2 linked regions of the Struthio camelus genome follow. The protein of the gene in region 1 interacts with the protein of each later gene in a biochemical or structural test. Links are inferred from orthologs where the notes say so. Each region holds a gene or a part of one and is shown on either strand. Other genes may lie near its edges.

Region 1 (7,267 bases):
AGGTGTGCTAATGCATCCAAAGCTGGTGAGCCCTTGAGGGACCTCTTCTGTCCTTCCCCCGTAAAAGTGAAATTTACTTAAGAATGGAATCGAATAAAGGCAACTTAAAATATCAACTCTTATGGTTCTTGAGCCTTTTGGACTGTGCTCTCAAACATTCATACAATTACAAAAATGAGGAACGTAAGCAAAAAAACCCCCTGACCTCTAACATTTCACGGCCTACAGATCTCTAGGAAGACGTCCAAATTCTCAGGACTTTGATACTGCCGGAGCTGGCCACAGTGACTTAGGTGGTGTGGTTCTGTTAGCACAGGGACTAGATTTATGGGGCCCATTCTCCGCAAAGGATGTCCCCGTTTTATAGCCAGTTGTGGTAATGTAAGGACCTTTGTTCCTCCCCTTGCATTTTCCTATATGCTAACATTTGCAAAATCCTTTCCATCGTTCTTTTTGCTAGAGCTTTCTGATGTTCAGTCAGAAAAAGTTATCCTACTTATCTGTGTTACCAAAGGAGCCATCTGTTTCAGATATTTGTTTTAGATTTACACCAGACAGAAACATTTTCTAGTAGCTGTAAGTGGTCGCATGGTTTCCTCAGCACATTAGTGAATGGAAAAAGGAGCCTGTGTTCTTGGAGCTTGCCAGGATCCCTGGCTTTAGTAAATTCACAAGTTTTGATAAGTCTTAACTTCAAAATAAAAGCTATTTGTCAAGGTCCCACTCTTTACAAGAAGTGCTGTCCAGATGTCAGGTTTGCTTTTTGGCCCTGTTTTAGACACAGACGTGAGTGGAGCATGTGGATCTCTAATGCCCATTGGTGCCAAGATAATGGCTCGTATGTAACTGTTATTGACCTCTGAAGAGTTTATACAGATTCATGTGTGAGTTTTAAAAAAAAAAAAAAAAAAAAAAAAAAAAAGTATTATCTAGTCTCTGGATCACTTCTACTTTCTTTGGTAACCTGCGTTTGTGTGTGTCTGTGTGTGTTTTCTGTTGGCAGTAGTGAAGAAACGGGTTTTGTGGTCATTTCACTGGATGAGAGGAGTAGAAAACATGGCTATTAATGACAGATTTGTGAAGTAGATCTTTGAAGTTTATAATACAAGCTTAAAGCTCTAAAGCTTTGTTGAATAAAGGATACCTTTTTTGTTAACAAAGCTTTACAAGGGTCTAAACCTAAATTTGCATGAATACATTTCACCTGTTCAGTTTTGAAAATAAGCTGGCTACTCAAATGATACGCATCACTGTCAGCGTTATTTTTTTTGACAAAAGGTTTATGTGCATGCTTTGCTGTAGAAATATTCCCTCTTTAATCTTTATAATAGTGACTATGCTAATCGCAGCTGAACTCTCTTGCCGGGGAGCATGGGTCTGGATGCCCTTTAAAACCCATGTAAGGAGGCATTTCTAAATAATTTTTGCTTGCCTGCCTTGGTTGCTGCATACTCACTGACCATCAGCTCACTTGTCTCTTTGTAGTGCTGTCCTTTTCTTGGAGTCATATGACACAAACTAATTAATGAAAATTAATTTTCGGATGCAGCCTATTGGGAAAGCAAGGACTCTTATTAACGTCCTCTGCTGACTCCAGCTGGGACAATTTGAAAAATTCTCCCCAGCTCCCTGCAGATAATTATACCCCTGTACCTGAGAGTGACAGAACGGTGGTATGCCTGGTCTAAGCCACCACAACCCAATGTATTAACAGGAGGTACTATTGCTTTCAATTTATATTAGTATACATGACTGTGAACTGTGATGTCTGAAGGCTCTAGTTCATAGCCTCTGTCAGGTAGAGGTATGGTGACTGAAGAAGCTACTGTCCTCATCGGAGGGGGCAGTGGCCTCTTCAGCTGTCCCAGCTAAATGCGACAAGAATGATGAATCAGAGCCTTGGACTGTTTTAAGGACTCCCTCAGCACAGTACTGTGAAGGTGTCTGGTATTTGTTCCTGTATCCAGCCTGTTAAAAATCAGTACAGCCTTCTCACTTTGCCCCTTATTCTGCCAGTGATGTTTTCCCACTTTGGCAACTATTAGGCAAAACAGCAAGTGCTTTGATGATAGAAATACTTAGTTCGCTGAGATCCTGCTTAAATATGAGGCAAAGTTCACTTGATCTACTAAATGAATATTCATCAGTCATCCTTTAATTACCGCTTGGGTATGTACATCTTTCTTTTTCTGGTGACCGCGTGATCCTGATACGGTAAAAAGTCAGGGAAATAAAGGAGAAGCAAACAGAGTTGGCGTTGCTGGTCTAGGGAGGAGAAGGAGACAATATCCCTCCTTTTAGCTTTTGGGCCTTCTGTCCTCCTAAATCATGTTCTGTTCCTAATCAGCCAGTGTTTATGGCAAATAAAAGTACTCTGCTATCCAGTGGAACTTTTATGGTCAAGGGAAGCCAGCCCTTTTCTTCTTGGTAGACCTGTCGGCAGGGGATTACAGTGGCAGTTCCCTTCCCTCAGGCTTTGCTTTTTATATTTCAAATAGTGAATTATCTTCCCTAATGTCCTTTTCGCTTGAGAACATAAACTGCAAATGAGTGCTTTCTTCTTTAGTTCTTCAGTAAGGATTTTGTATTGATTATGAGTTGAGCTTTTGAATGCTGAATTTTTAATAGAGTTAATTGTGATGTTTGTGCAGCTTCTTTTGCTGCCATGTCAGGCTGAACTCAATGTTTAAAAACTGGAATTTTGTATTGAAGAAAAAATTTGAAGGCCTTATAAATTAGGAGTTTTGTGAGTTGAGTAGGTTCCTCAATGGAGGAATGTGTTTGTCCGTAATAAATGGATGTATACCTGTGTGTATATATCTGTGAGCATGCACAGAAATCTGCCTGTCTGCAAAACTATTCGGATAACAGCAACAGAACTTGATTGGATTAAAAGTTACTCAAGTGGCAATGCCTTTGGAATTCTCTTTTTCCCTCGGGCACTGGTAATGTGGGAAGATTTTTCTTTGCAGTTCCTTATATTGGGTGTTTTCAGGACATAAATTTCTTCAGTTCTGCATTTTAATTGCTGTATCAATCAAAAGTTTTTGTACATGCAAGATGCTGAGACGTTTGTAACATATATATATATATATATAATATATATATATCTTTCTTAATCTACCAGTCTAGCTTTTCCAAATCCATGCAGCACCTGATGCTTTTCGTTTCCTCGGATATGTAAGCTTATAAAATTGCTTTTTCTGATCTATGAATGAACAGAGTAAGTTACTTAGATCTCAGTTGCAAGTGCGTTTCTTGCCCTTTGGAGATGAATTTCTGAATTTGACAGCAGTGTATGTTAGTTTTTCTAAGCTTTGGAAATATTTGTATTTAAAAAAAAGAAATCTACTCCACTGTTTCCTTTAAGGAGCTTGAGGAACAGATGCTTATGTAATCACTACAGAAAGCACATACTGCTCCTCCAAAAGTACAGCTCTATGAGACAGGAAGTATACAGACCTAAGACTTAGACAGCAAACAGGTCTGAATCTCTTTCCCTTCCCATTTCCAGTTCCCTTCCTACACCCCTCAAAAAATCTGTAACCAATCCAGGAAATTTCCCTGGTTTCTGTATCACCTCTTTATTATTGAGTATTTTATTTCACTTTGTCAGTAGAGATGCTATAATAACATTTCTTTGACCTAAGCTTGGTGTGAACAGATGTTGCGGGGGAGGAGGTTAGTTTGCATTAACCTCAGCAAATATAAATGCTTCACTGAAGCCAGGAGATCCATTGTGACTTTTTTTCATATGCCAGGGATCTAACTTTTGCTTCAGATTTCCTACTGGATGCATCTCGTCTTGCTACCGGAAGGACTTGAACTGGAACAGCATTCACTTACCTCTCTGAGATCAGTGATCGTAATGGAAAGTCTGAATGTAGGCTTGAAGGCAAAGATGTGATTTATATGCAGGCTGCCTGTAGACGTTTCCATCTTCTTGGTCGCTTTATAATTGCCTTTGTATTGAGGGAATTATTGTGTGCTGCTCTGATGTGGCTTATATGATGCTTATAGAAATGTATGGGGGTGGATAATGGCTGCTCTTCATTAGTTATTGTCACCTCTGTGGCTTTGTAAGGCTTGTGTTTGTTGCCACAGGAAGGAAACAATTGCCGCTATGCTAGGCGCTACGTAAATGCAGAATGCAGCCTTGTTCCTGGGTAAACCTTGAAAACAGTTACTATAAGCGTTGTGAGGAATATAAATCTAGATATTAGTTGAACCCAAGATAATTTTAATATGAGAAAATTATTTACTACAAAAATAAATTCTAATAAGCTACACAGGCCAGCAGAGTTCATTATAAGCTTCTATAATTCTTCAATTTCTTTGGTGAAAATCTCCAAACAAGCGACTGACCCTACCCGAAACCTATGCCTAAGTACTAAGAGCAGAATAAATCTCCTTAAAATGCAAACATGGAAATAACATTGGCTTGGTTGTAAGAGCAAGTTTTGATGATGGCAGAGCTTATGTCCCTGATTTCAACTGGAAGACGACACTCAAACTTTCTAAAATACCCACTTTTTGTGGAAGATCGTCCTAAGTGACATGGCGACATCTGGGCCTGCTTAACTTATCCAGAAATGCTGAATTCGGTTCTGAAGCGGAGCCAGCAGGACACCCCTTCTGAAGAAGTAAAAGCTGTGGAAAAGGAAACAAAATTCTGTTAGCCATGGGCATAGCTGAAGTTACGTGAATCTGCTTCCTCAGGCAGGCCATCCACAGTAGAGAGAATTTAAAGATTTAGGTGACTGGGGAAGCCGGCCTATGGCCAGAGGAAAGTTGTGTGTGTGCCAGTAAGCTCCACATTATTTGAATCCATATGATAAATAGCAAGGTCCCAAGAAGTTAAGCACTAACTCAAACTCTGCTCCCTTCTTGTTTTGCTTTTTCTGGAAGCTATGCCATTATTTATTGCTTTTCATTTGTATGTGCATATGAGAGATTCCCAACAGAGCCCTATAATGATTTCCTAAAGTTAAACCACAACTTGTCACTAATCAAGTCAGATTCGCTGGTGTTAATGGTGGTATTTAAATCTGCCCTTATATGATTTAACTGTCACACCTTCTTTTAAGCCCATGGAAACAGTGTGTCCCTTTAAAGAGGATGATGGAATAAGAATCTTCCCAACTGTGTGTTTAGTGACAGCAAGGTGTAAGGAAGAGGTAGCTAATGGACGCTTAAATCAGGTAGGCATTTATATTCCAAAGTAAGTGGTGCTATTCATTATCCATGTGCTTTTGTAGCTAGATCACTGGGTAGGGAATTGAAGATGAAGGATATTGTCAATGCCTTAAATTCTCCTAGGGCAACCCTTACGGAAATTCCTCCTAGTGCTGACTTTGTGAGTGGTAATAATGTGTTATATTAGTCTGGGAGTTTGATCATTGGACTGTGATAGTCTATTGATTCACCTTAATACTGCAGAGTTCCATAAATAATTAGATAAACGTGGAATGTTGATTTTTGCAAGGTTTGCTTTTATTTCTACTTGATTGACATTACACTTTTTTATTATTTTGATTTAAAAAGGAAAGAAAAATTAAGTTGCAGCTTTTGACAAATTGGTACATGAACCTGTTCTCTCTGTAGTTACAGAATACATATATCTTGAGGTATGAAATTTGTAAGCCCTCTGAGTTCCCTTCAAAATTCTAAAACTTCACAAGGTGATTAAGAGTAATAATGATCACTATGGCAAAAAGCTTTCTGTTTCAAGCCAGTATAGAACTCTTGGGTTTTTGTTTTTTTAATTCTAGATATAGGGAAGCAAAAATGATAACCCATTTGTCATTTGTACAAGCCAATGTTTTATGAAAGTGATACTCTACTAAAAGAAACCCAACAAACTAAGCCTTGAACTGAGGTACAGGGGGAGGTTGAGAAAGATGTTGGCATAAGCTTGGAAACCGGAGCAGAAGGGCTTGCAAATTGCAGTTCAGCTTTTCTTTGGCTTTCTAGGATTGTGACAAGAGAAAAGAAAAAATTTTTTAAACTTGTAATAGGAAGCAAAACTGACACTCAGATAAACACAGGCAGTATTCCCATTGTGAGGCTGCACAGCACATGACTGAATTTTATGAAACTGAGGGAGCATAGCCTGCGTCTTAGGCCTCAGAGGAAGTAGCTTGGCTTTTCACAGTTGCTGTCTTTTGAATGATTCTCAGGCTTACTCAGCCTAAATGTTTTGTGTTGATACAGAATGGATTAAAACTTTTAATTTCCCTCCTTTGGCAGATTAGTTTTGTGCGCACACATTTTTTTTTTTTTAAACACAGGCAGATTTAAGATAGTATGTTAGTTATATGGATATACTGCTGCAATCACTTACATCTCTGTGTGCATGCACATTCCTTTATAATTTAGTATTACAGGGAAATCTGTGATAAGTAGGCAGGCACCCATGTTTTATTAAAACTCTAGAGGGGATAAGACAAAAAAGAGCGTCTTATGCATGGCTGTTATTAGCCTCAGATTTGGGACTGCAGTTAGGAGGCGAAAGTCTTTGTGATAGGTTGGGCTTCATTGTGGGGGGCCTCTTGATCTTAACTCGTTTGTAGACCAACACGTCCAGAAGGCTGACCTGATGCATGATTGAGGTGAAGGCAAGTAGCTAGGGTAGATTACAGCCAGGACTATTGGAAGTCCAGAGGGCCTGGTGCATGGCTTTGTCCTGCCTGGTCCAGGGGCACTTATGTCCCACAGTAGGAAAAGAGCAGTTTCAGAGCGCCAAGAGGATATCTCCTTCTTTCACTGTTTTGATGGGAACCAGGCTTTACTACCATATCACTTACAAAACTGAAAGCTAGACCTGTCCAGATTTGGCTCTAGAAAGATCTGATAAGTCCTCTGAAGTGCTTTTTTGGAACCTTAGTTGTAAAACCAGAATAGGGTGTTACACAGTTACAGATCAGTTACTGAGAACCACTTAATCTGGTGTGGGTATCTTTGGTAAAACTATAGTTTACCTAGTCAGGGGTCCCTCCGACTATACCGTTCTTAGTTCAGTTTGACTTAAATTATCTGTTACAAACAATCTACCTTCTCTTTTGGTATTTGCCCACCACTGTGGCAATTTGCCAACCTTGCTTGAAATTTTTCTTCAGTCACCACAAGTATATGCATATGAAGACAGCAGCCCAAAGATACCTTGGGAAATAACTTTTGGGGTTTGTCTTTCTCTGGTACTGCTGCCTTTGAGTTGAACAAAGTAAGGTGAAAATATCAGGATTTAAATAGCTGAAATCAATCACTG
Region 2 (7,796 bases), on another chromosome or scaffold:
TCACTCACAACAGACTTCTGGGCTGGACCTGCAGCAGGCTCTCCGCTGAATTTCTGGGGAGCAGGGCTGTATTTCAGGATGGAGTCGAACGGTGTCCGCAGGCTAGACTCATTGTATTTCTATACATTCATCCTATGGCAATACAGCAGCTATTCTGGGAACAGGCTGCGCCATTGCCATTCGCTTTTTCACTGGAGATGTGAAATCACGGGGGTGATTTCACACACCCAGAATTAACTCAGGCTTTTAAGGAAATCCAGGACTGGAAGATCCCCAGGGTCAGCACGTCCTGCTGCTGCAGGCGTCACGTCTCCTGCAGAGATTGGAGTAGCGAAGGGGTGGTGGCCCTTTTTCATGTTTATTGTTACTGGATGTGGAGGAGGGCAAGGGAGAGGGGAATCTCCCACCCCCCACCCCATCAAACTCATTTTCATAAAATAATAGGACTTTATCAGCCCCAGAAATGTCATCAGTCCCTGACAAAACTGCAGGTGAACTGTTTCTTTCTGTTTCGTTTGTTTAAATGAGTTGTAGGGCACAAAAAGAGCATTTTGCAGCCTGTTTCAAGTTTGGCTGCCTATCTCTTTGTCCGTTTGTCCTTTCTCCAAGGGATGTCTACCTGGGAAGGCAACGGGGACAAACCTATGCTAAACTGGAGCTGACAGCCAGGTGCGTTGGAAACACCTTAGTTGTGCCAGCTCAGAGATCTGCAGCCTGCAAAACCTGCCGAAGCAGGAGAGATTAGCACCCGCTGCAGGTCTCTGCGCTCCTGGCTGGATGCTGGTTTGGGTCTGCCTGGCTGCAGGGACGCTCTCCCTTTGGGCTACAGTTTCGTGGTCACTTTTAGCCCATGCGGCTAAGAGTGCTTAGAGACGAGAAGCTTGGCCTCACACATGGCTGGGGCCGCGCTCCTAGACCCCATGCAAGGCCCCGTGCAATGGCCACATGGGAAAATTGCGGTGCTGGGGCTTTCAGGGGCTTGGACTGTGCTGAAAGTGGGGCTGAATTCTGAATGCATATGTTTCTCAGGAAAAAAATTATATTGGGAAGGGGTACTTTTTTGCTTGAGCGTTTCTTTTCAGGGCTGGCCAATGCGGTTGGGTAGTCTCCGGTTTGCCAGAGTGGTTGTTGAGGACCATCAGCACTATCGGGGTAGTCTCCAGTTTGCCGGAGTGGTTGTTGAGGACCATCAGCACTATCGGGAGACCTGTTTGCCCATGGCCAGGAATAGCTGGGGCTTCTCACAAGACTGAACTCTCGGCGGGCAGACTAAGATTGCCCACTGCAGAACCTGCCTCTCTTGCGCAGGCGTTGTTGCTTTGCCAATGTTGTCCCCATGCATGGGTGCAGGGCTGCTCTTCCTCACCTTTTCTTACATCAGAGCCAAACAAAACCTGCACTGGGTAACATAACCGCAGAAGAGCTCTCATAAAACAGAATAAGGGCTATGCAGTTAAAGAAGAAAGCAGGTTGTTCAGAAGAGGAGCTTCTAAAAAGCAACACCAACTTGGCAGCAGGCTTGGCTGGCACGTATTAGCTCTTCGCATCACTTAAGTGAGAACTTTCTTATTCCAAATGTGAAGCTAAATTCTTCTCCCTGATCTTGCTGCTGGGTGGTGCATGGCTCTGAAACCAGCCCATGGGATACAAACTGCAACTGTGCTAAGGTGGGAGGGATGACCCGCTGCTTTTTCCTGTCGTTTCAACTCTGCATCGCAACTGTGCTATTGAGACAGCATTTTGTGGAGAGCCATGCAAATTCTTTTTCACCCTCTTGACACAGACGTTTAAGCAAAAAGCTGATTGTTTTGTGTAACTGCATATCCAGTTTTGTTGATATAATGCTCAGGTTTTCACTGAAAACCTTTTTTTCTTGTCATCCCCCCAGGGTTTGGGATTTAAACATTCTTTGGGTTGGGAACATTTGCTTTTTCGATGAGCTCTCGGGGAGGAGGAATATTGTTTCTGACAAAGCATTTGCATTTTGTGCAGAGCTGCAAAATTAGCAGTGGCTACAGTTCCATCGTGAACAATTTAAAGAGGAAAGTCTTGTGCTTGATGGGGAAAAAAGGAGCAGTTTCTTTAGGAAAACAACCGAGGGGATAGAATTAGGCTACGCATTTGTGCCATCCCTGTCCATCACACCCCCAGAGCAGCCACCCCCCCGCCCTCTCTCAGCACAATAAGGGAAACTGGTGGCAGCTGGTGACACTGGGAGGTGCAAGGCAGAGCCAGGCTGGTCTGCAAGGCAGCTTGCCCTGGCTCCTCCAGCATGCCCGGCTGCTAGCCCTGAGCTGGGCTCTCCTGGCCACCGCCAGGGCCTGGGGACATGCCCTGTTCCTCAGCCCCTGCTTCCAGGCTGGGAGTCCCCCCCTTGGACTGATCCTTTCACTGATGCCAGCTCCCTCCCCCCCCACCCCCCGCCTTTTTTTGGTCACCAGGAACTTGCCAAGACCCCATGACTTGACTGGAGGAATCCTTCTGGGGGCTCTTGGTAATGGTTTTTCTCATTTCACTTTTCCCTTCATTCAAAGCAATGGAAAAGTCACTCAAGAGAAACCTGGCAGTCCAGGAGGCAAAGGGGTGGTGGGGAGGAAGGAAGGAGAACCCATCCGGGAGAAGAGGGCTTGCGAGCATCTTACCTGCAGGAGGAGGAAGAGGAGGAGGGTAGGACGTATGCCGGACATCATCCTTAACTCCCACTATGCCCAGCTCTCCCAGGCATGTTTGGCAGCAGTCCCCACTTCTGCTGGGCTCCTTATGCTGTCTGGGGTAAAATCCTCTGGGCTTTGTGTAAACGAGCTTGTCATCGACACGGACCCAGGCTCTTGGCACTGCAACTCCCGCCACCCTGAGTCTCAGCTGGGCTGTGCAGAGGGAAGCAGGTGCCTTTCGCCTTCCCTCTCCTTTGCTCAGCAACCTGCTCCTGCCTTTTATAATCTTGCTGCGAGCCGGTCGTCTGGGCTCCCCACCTTCCAGCTCCCCTGCTCGGCTGGGGATGGGTTACATCTCTTCTGCCATCCTCCCACTCCCCCTGTCTTTCCCTCCTCCTCCGCTGCTTCCTCCTCCCCTTTTCCTTCCTCCACAGCCCCGGTGCCTTGCAACTCTTCCTCTCTTGCCATCCCCTCCCTCAGCATCTTTTGCAACCCAAACTTTCCGATTGCCCAGGGAAGCCCTTCAGTCCCCCTGCCCTGCCTTGCCCTGCTGGGGATGCGTCCCTACGTGGGGCAGGCAAGCCCCTGCCCAGCCTGGACCACGTCCCCCGGCTCTGTCCCTCCGCTCTCTAGTGGGAGACTATTCCTCCGCAAAGGCAGGCGTTTTGCTGTTGCTGCAAGCGCTTTTATGGAGGCTGTGGACACCTGTGTTTGTGTGTGTGTGTGTATGCAAAGGGATTTTGACTGCAACTTTTAGGAGGATTTGCTCAAGGCTCTGGGAGAGGGTTTGAGGGAAGGGAGAGCAAGGATCTGTCCTTTCCTTTGAGCATCTCCCTCTGGAGAGGGAGCAGGGGCTCTTGGTGCCTTCTTGTCTTCCCTTGCTCTGCTGGCCCTGATCAGCTTCCTCTAGGGCTGCAGCAGCCCTGTGCCTTGTAACTCCCTGGCAGAGATGAGCTGCTCCTTACCCCTATGGCCCCATGTCCATCCTTGTGCCTGCAGCACAAGTAAGCCTCGCCCAAGCCCCAGGAGAGCCTAGGCTTGGCTTTGGACTGGAGGAAGCAGACCAGGCTATAACAGGGGAAACTGAGTAACAGGGGAGGTGGGAGGCTGCTGGGTGGAGAGCGGCTTCCCCAGCAGGACTGGCAGTGGCACGGCACAGGCAATGCAGCAGAAACAGGAGGGCTTGAACTAATGGGGTAGAGGGGCACTGGTTTGGGGGAGATGTGTCCGTTGGGGACAAGTGTCCTGGGGAGGGTGGAGGGCAGTGAGAGGTCATGCAGAACAAGACTTCTGGGGTCTTGACTAATTTTTTCCCTTCCACCCTAACCATGAGACACTCCTGCCAGCTCCAGTGGTGCTTGGGGATGCGTCAGCCCCGGCTGTGAGCGTGGGAGAGACTTCCCTATGTCCCAGGTGTCGAATCTCTGGGCGTGGCCTGCGCCAGGTGAAGCCCGCTCCCTGAGTTGGGGTAGGGTTTTGGGGCACGCTTTCCACATCCTGCCTGGGGTTTGCGGGGCTGGTGCAAACCACAGCCGCTGTGCTGGCCCCAGGGAAAGGTGCCGGGAGTCTACCTGCTTGCAGTGACTCAGCAGCAGGAGAAAGAGCCAGTCAGCAAGTTATGGCTTTTTCTTTCCTTGTGGAAACAACTAGAGTCAAGCTGCATCTCCGGGAAAATAAAGGGATGATGGGAGATGTCACATCAGCATTGACACCTTCTTCCCAGCAGCCTCCTCCAGTCACGATGCTCCTGTAGGGACCAGAGACATTTCCCCCTTCCCATATCTAAGTGCCAACGTGTCAGTGGCAAGTGTCTCTCTCCAAACCATGTAGGGGCCAGGGTCATATCCTGCTCTCTTCCAGGCACCCCTGGCTGACGTGGTTGTACATAGGATTGCTGGCCGCTGGCTGGACCGTAGCACGTGAGCAGCCAGCCAAGGGTTACACCCAGGAGCTGTGTGGATGGTTCATCCCAGGCCTCAAAGGGTAAATCCTCCTGGCCCAGTAACTAAAGCAATAAACAACGCAGACATAAATCTTCCAGCATTAGCTGGATTTAATCAACTGTGTCATTGCTTTGGGAAAGGAGTTTGAGAATATGTAAAGCTCTAGTAAATTCAGGAAACTTGTTATTTCTTAGGTCTCCTAACATCCCAGCCCTTTGACAAGTGACGGGACCAGATAGACTCCAGATCCACCTTTGTATTACCTTGAGCTTCAATTAGCCCAATTTAAAATGCAAAAGTTTTGAGAGGAGGCCTTGAGAAAGTTCCCTCACCCTAGAAGAGCCTGGAAAAGACAGTGGGGAAGAGGTCGGGTTCAAGTCCTCCAGGCAAAGCAGGCTTTGACCCTGTTTTCCCACGCCCCTCTTGAGCACAGGAAGAGCGAACCGAGGCTGGTCACGGTGAGAAAAAAGGCAAAAGCATCAGTTTTCCCCTTCCTCAGGCCTTGCAGTTCATCCTCTGGGCAAGATGCATGCAGTGACCATGCTCTTATCAGATGCCAAAACCATGGGGTGATGGGAGGGAAGCGAAAGTGCACCCAAACTATTTTTAGTCAAGGAAGTGGTTGCCAGGGACATTAAGATAATTCCTTCCCCATATATCAGGGAAACGACTGCAGTGCTGTTTTAAAGGCCTAATTGAGGGGATTTATAGGAAAATGCAACTTGTCAGATGTGGCAGAGGAAAAATAAAACAGTCCCCTAGACAAGGAAATCACTCCATTCGTCATGGTTAATCTCAAATTCCTCCGTGCAGCAGAGAGATGAATGTGGGAGAAGGGTATTAGGGATGGGGGAAATGAAGAGAAATATCGGATATCCAGGAAGGAGGGAGAGCAGTGATTTAGCATGACTTTATCTGCCTTTGGTACATTATTATTTCTTTATGTAACTGCACATGGTTTGACACTTCTGTTTCCTAACAGCTCCAGGACACCTGCACTTTGGCGCTGTACGCGTGACTTACACAACCACAGTGCTGCTGGTGTTGTCCCCATCCACCCTGCAGCCGGCCCTTCGCCCCGTGCTGAGTGCAGCTAGAGAAAACCGGAGCATGTTGCTGTGCCTGTCCCTCTTGCATGGCATGGCCAAGGGGAGGCAACCAGGACTGCTGCTTGCACATGCAGGAGCTAAGCACACGTGTCCCAAATTCCCATGTGGAGCTGATGCTCTAGCACTGCTAGGTGTGAGCCACAGGGCTTTACTTACCAGTGTGATGTCTACAAAAAAAAAATAAAGAAAAATCTTGTTTGGACTGTCAGAGTCCAGGACATTCAGGCCAGGCTAGTGGAAGTCTAGTGTATAACTTCTTGGTGTGCTTGGCTGCAGAAAACCGCAGCTGAGATCACCATTGTGGGGCTATACCTCAGTTTCCCTATTGGTAGGTAGGTGTGGATCAGATAGCTCTAACAGTGTTCATACTGAGCCTTGGAGGATTTATCTAGTCTGTCCTCTTTTCCAAGGCAGGAAGTATTCTGCCTTGACTAGCCGTAATGGATGCCTGTCTACTGATTCTTGGAGATACTTAGTGCTAGAGAGCCCAGCTAGCCCAGTGCTTCCCTATCCTCACTCCAAGGGATTTTGTGCTAATGCACAAAGGGTCAGATTTGTGGTAGAATAATGCAAGAACTGTTAAGTTTTATCATGCTGCCTCTGGCTCAGCCTGTCCCTCTGCCACAGTCCTTGGAAGTCGGAAGTGCGCTCCAAGGAGCTCTTGCTAAGGATTCCTGTTGCTTTGCATTTCCCTGATTTCCCTGGACACCTGTGGTTGACTACAGACCATGACAGTGTGCTGGACTAGATTCACCTGTGAGCTGACCTGGGAGGGCTACTCTTACATGCTTGCTGGTGGAAGCCTTCATCCTTGGCCTTGCCACTGTTGCTTGGTTTCTACAATGTGCTCCATGGGGATGAAGTGGCAAAGGGGGGAGATAACCCCCCCATTTAGTAGCTGGCTTGGCTGAGTGCTTCAAGGAGATAAACTCCCCACTCAGTTGGAAGGTGTTTCCCTCTGGCATGTCAGGTAGAGCAAGGAGCAAGCCAAAGAAGAGACGCTCATGCTCATCTCATGCATCAAACACGGACGTTGTTCCGAGTAAGCAGGGATTTGCCACATGTTCATACATCTCAATTTAATGCTCTGGATAAAAGTCAGACATTGGCGCTAGCTTCTGGATGATGCAGTGGCAGACACCACGTGTTCACCATGTTTATGCATAGAAAGCCAACCTATGTGTGAGCTACTCCCTACCAGTTCATGAAGTCTAAACCCATATCCAGCTTGGGTGGGTGGACCAGTACTGTGACATGTTGTTAGGGGGCCAAGGACACTGAGCCCCAAAACAGTGTCTGCAAATTAAAAAAAGCCAACTTAAGGAAGGTGAGAAACCCACAAAGAACTAAGATCTAACTAAGCATCTCATTCAATTTCTGAGTGTCTTAAAATAGCCTGTTGTATTTTTAAAATTTCTTTTGGGAGGAAATGTCGTTTTGAATGGAACAGAAACACAAAGGCTTTTGTTTTACAGCTAATTAAACCTTGAGGAGAATGATAAAATAATCATAATAGTCATAATTATTATTTTCTGCAATCAAAATGCTTTACCAAAGTCAACCCAAATCTGCCAAATGTTTCTCCTCATTCCAGTTGGCGTTTCCCATCAAACAAAACCCCATAGTCTGTAGCTGGGTAAAGCTCCCCAGCTTTACTCTGGAGACTGATCCCATCAATCCAGCAGCCTAAAGTGCTCTGCTTTAGTGCACAGCGCAAAAGAGAGATGCACTACCCTGCCAGCATGGAGCTGTCCCGTACATGACTCTGTTCTCCCTTAGCAGTGTAAGGATGCATCCTGAATTGAGCCTCCCAGGCTGCATCTCTGCCTAAGGTGCCTGATGGCATCCCTCCCTTGTGGACGTTTGGGCTGTGCTGCCAGGTCCCTCAGGGCTATGCCCCTCACTCTGCCAGCTTGTATTTATGTGGTACTGTTGCATGGATGGTGGCCAGGTGCAGCTCCGGTGAGGCAGGGACATGCAGGTGCTTCTAGCATGTGCCAGTGGCAAGGGCAGAGGTGAGGAACCATGTCTATAGCTTTGCACGTGTGGAGTGAAGTGGGGTAAGAGAAGTGACACTGCATGGCTGGCTG

What was found. The genes of interacting proteins can lie anywhere in the genome.
Region 2: the proteins of PDZK1 (region 1) and CRHR1 form a complex in vitro, tested with the Homo sapiens proteins (2 studies listed by BioGRID and IntAct, with this or other methods). The link is inferred for Struthio camelus from reciprocal best matches to the Homo sapiens genes PDZK1 and CRHR1.

What each region holds. Positions count from the first base shown.
Region 1 is NC_090942.1:106,741,945-106,749,211, forward strand, and holds the start of PDZK1 (Na(+)/H(+) exchange regulatory cofactor NHE-RF3), read right to left. Parts: upstream 3,019-7,267; 5' UTR 1-3,018. UniProt on the Homo sapiens protein: A scaffold protein that connects plasma membrane proteins and regulatory components, regulating their surface expression in epithelial cells apical domains.
Region 2 is NC_090966.1:3,502,318-3,510,113, reverse strand, and holds the start of CRHR1 (corticotropin-releasing factor receptor 1), read right to left. Parts: upstream 3,012-7,796; 5' UTR 2,691-3,011; coding exon 2,643-2,690; intron 1-2,642.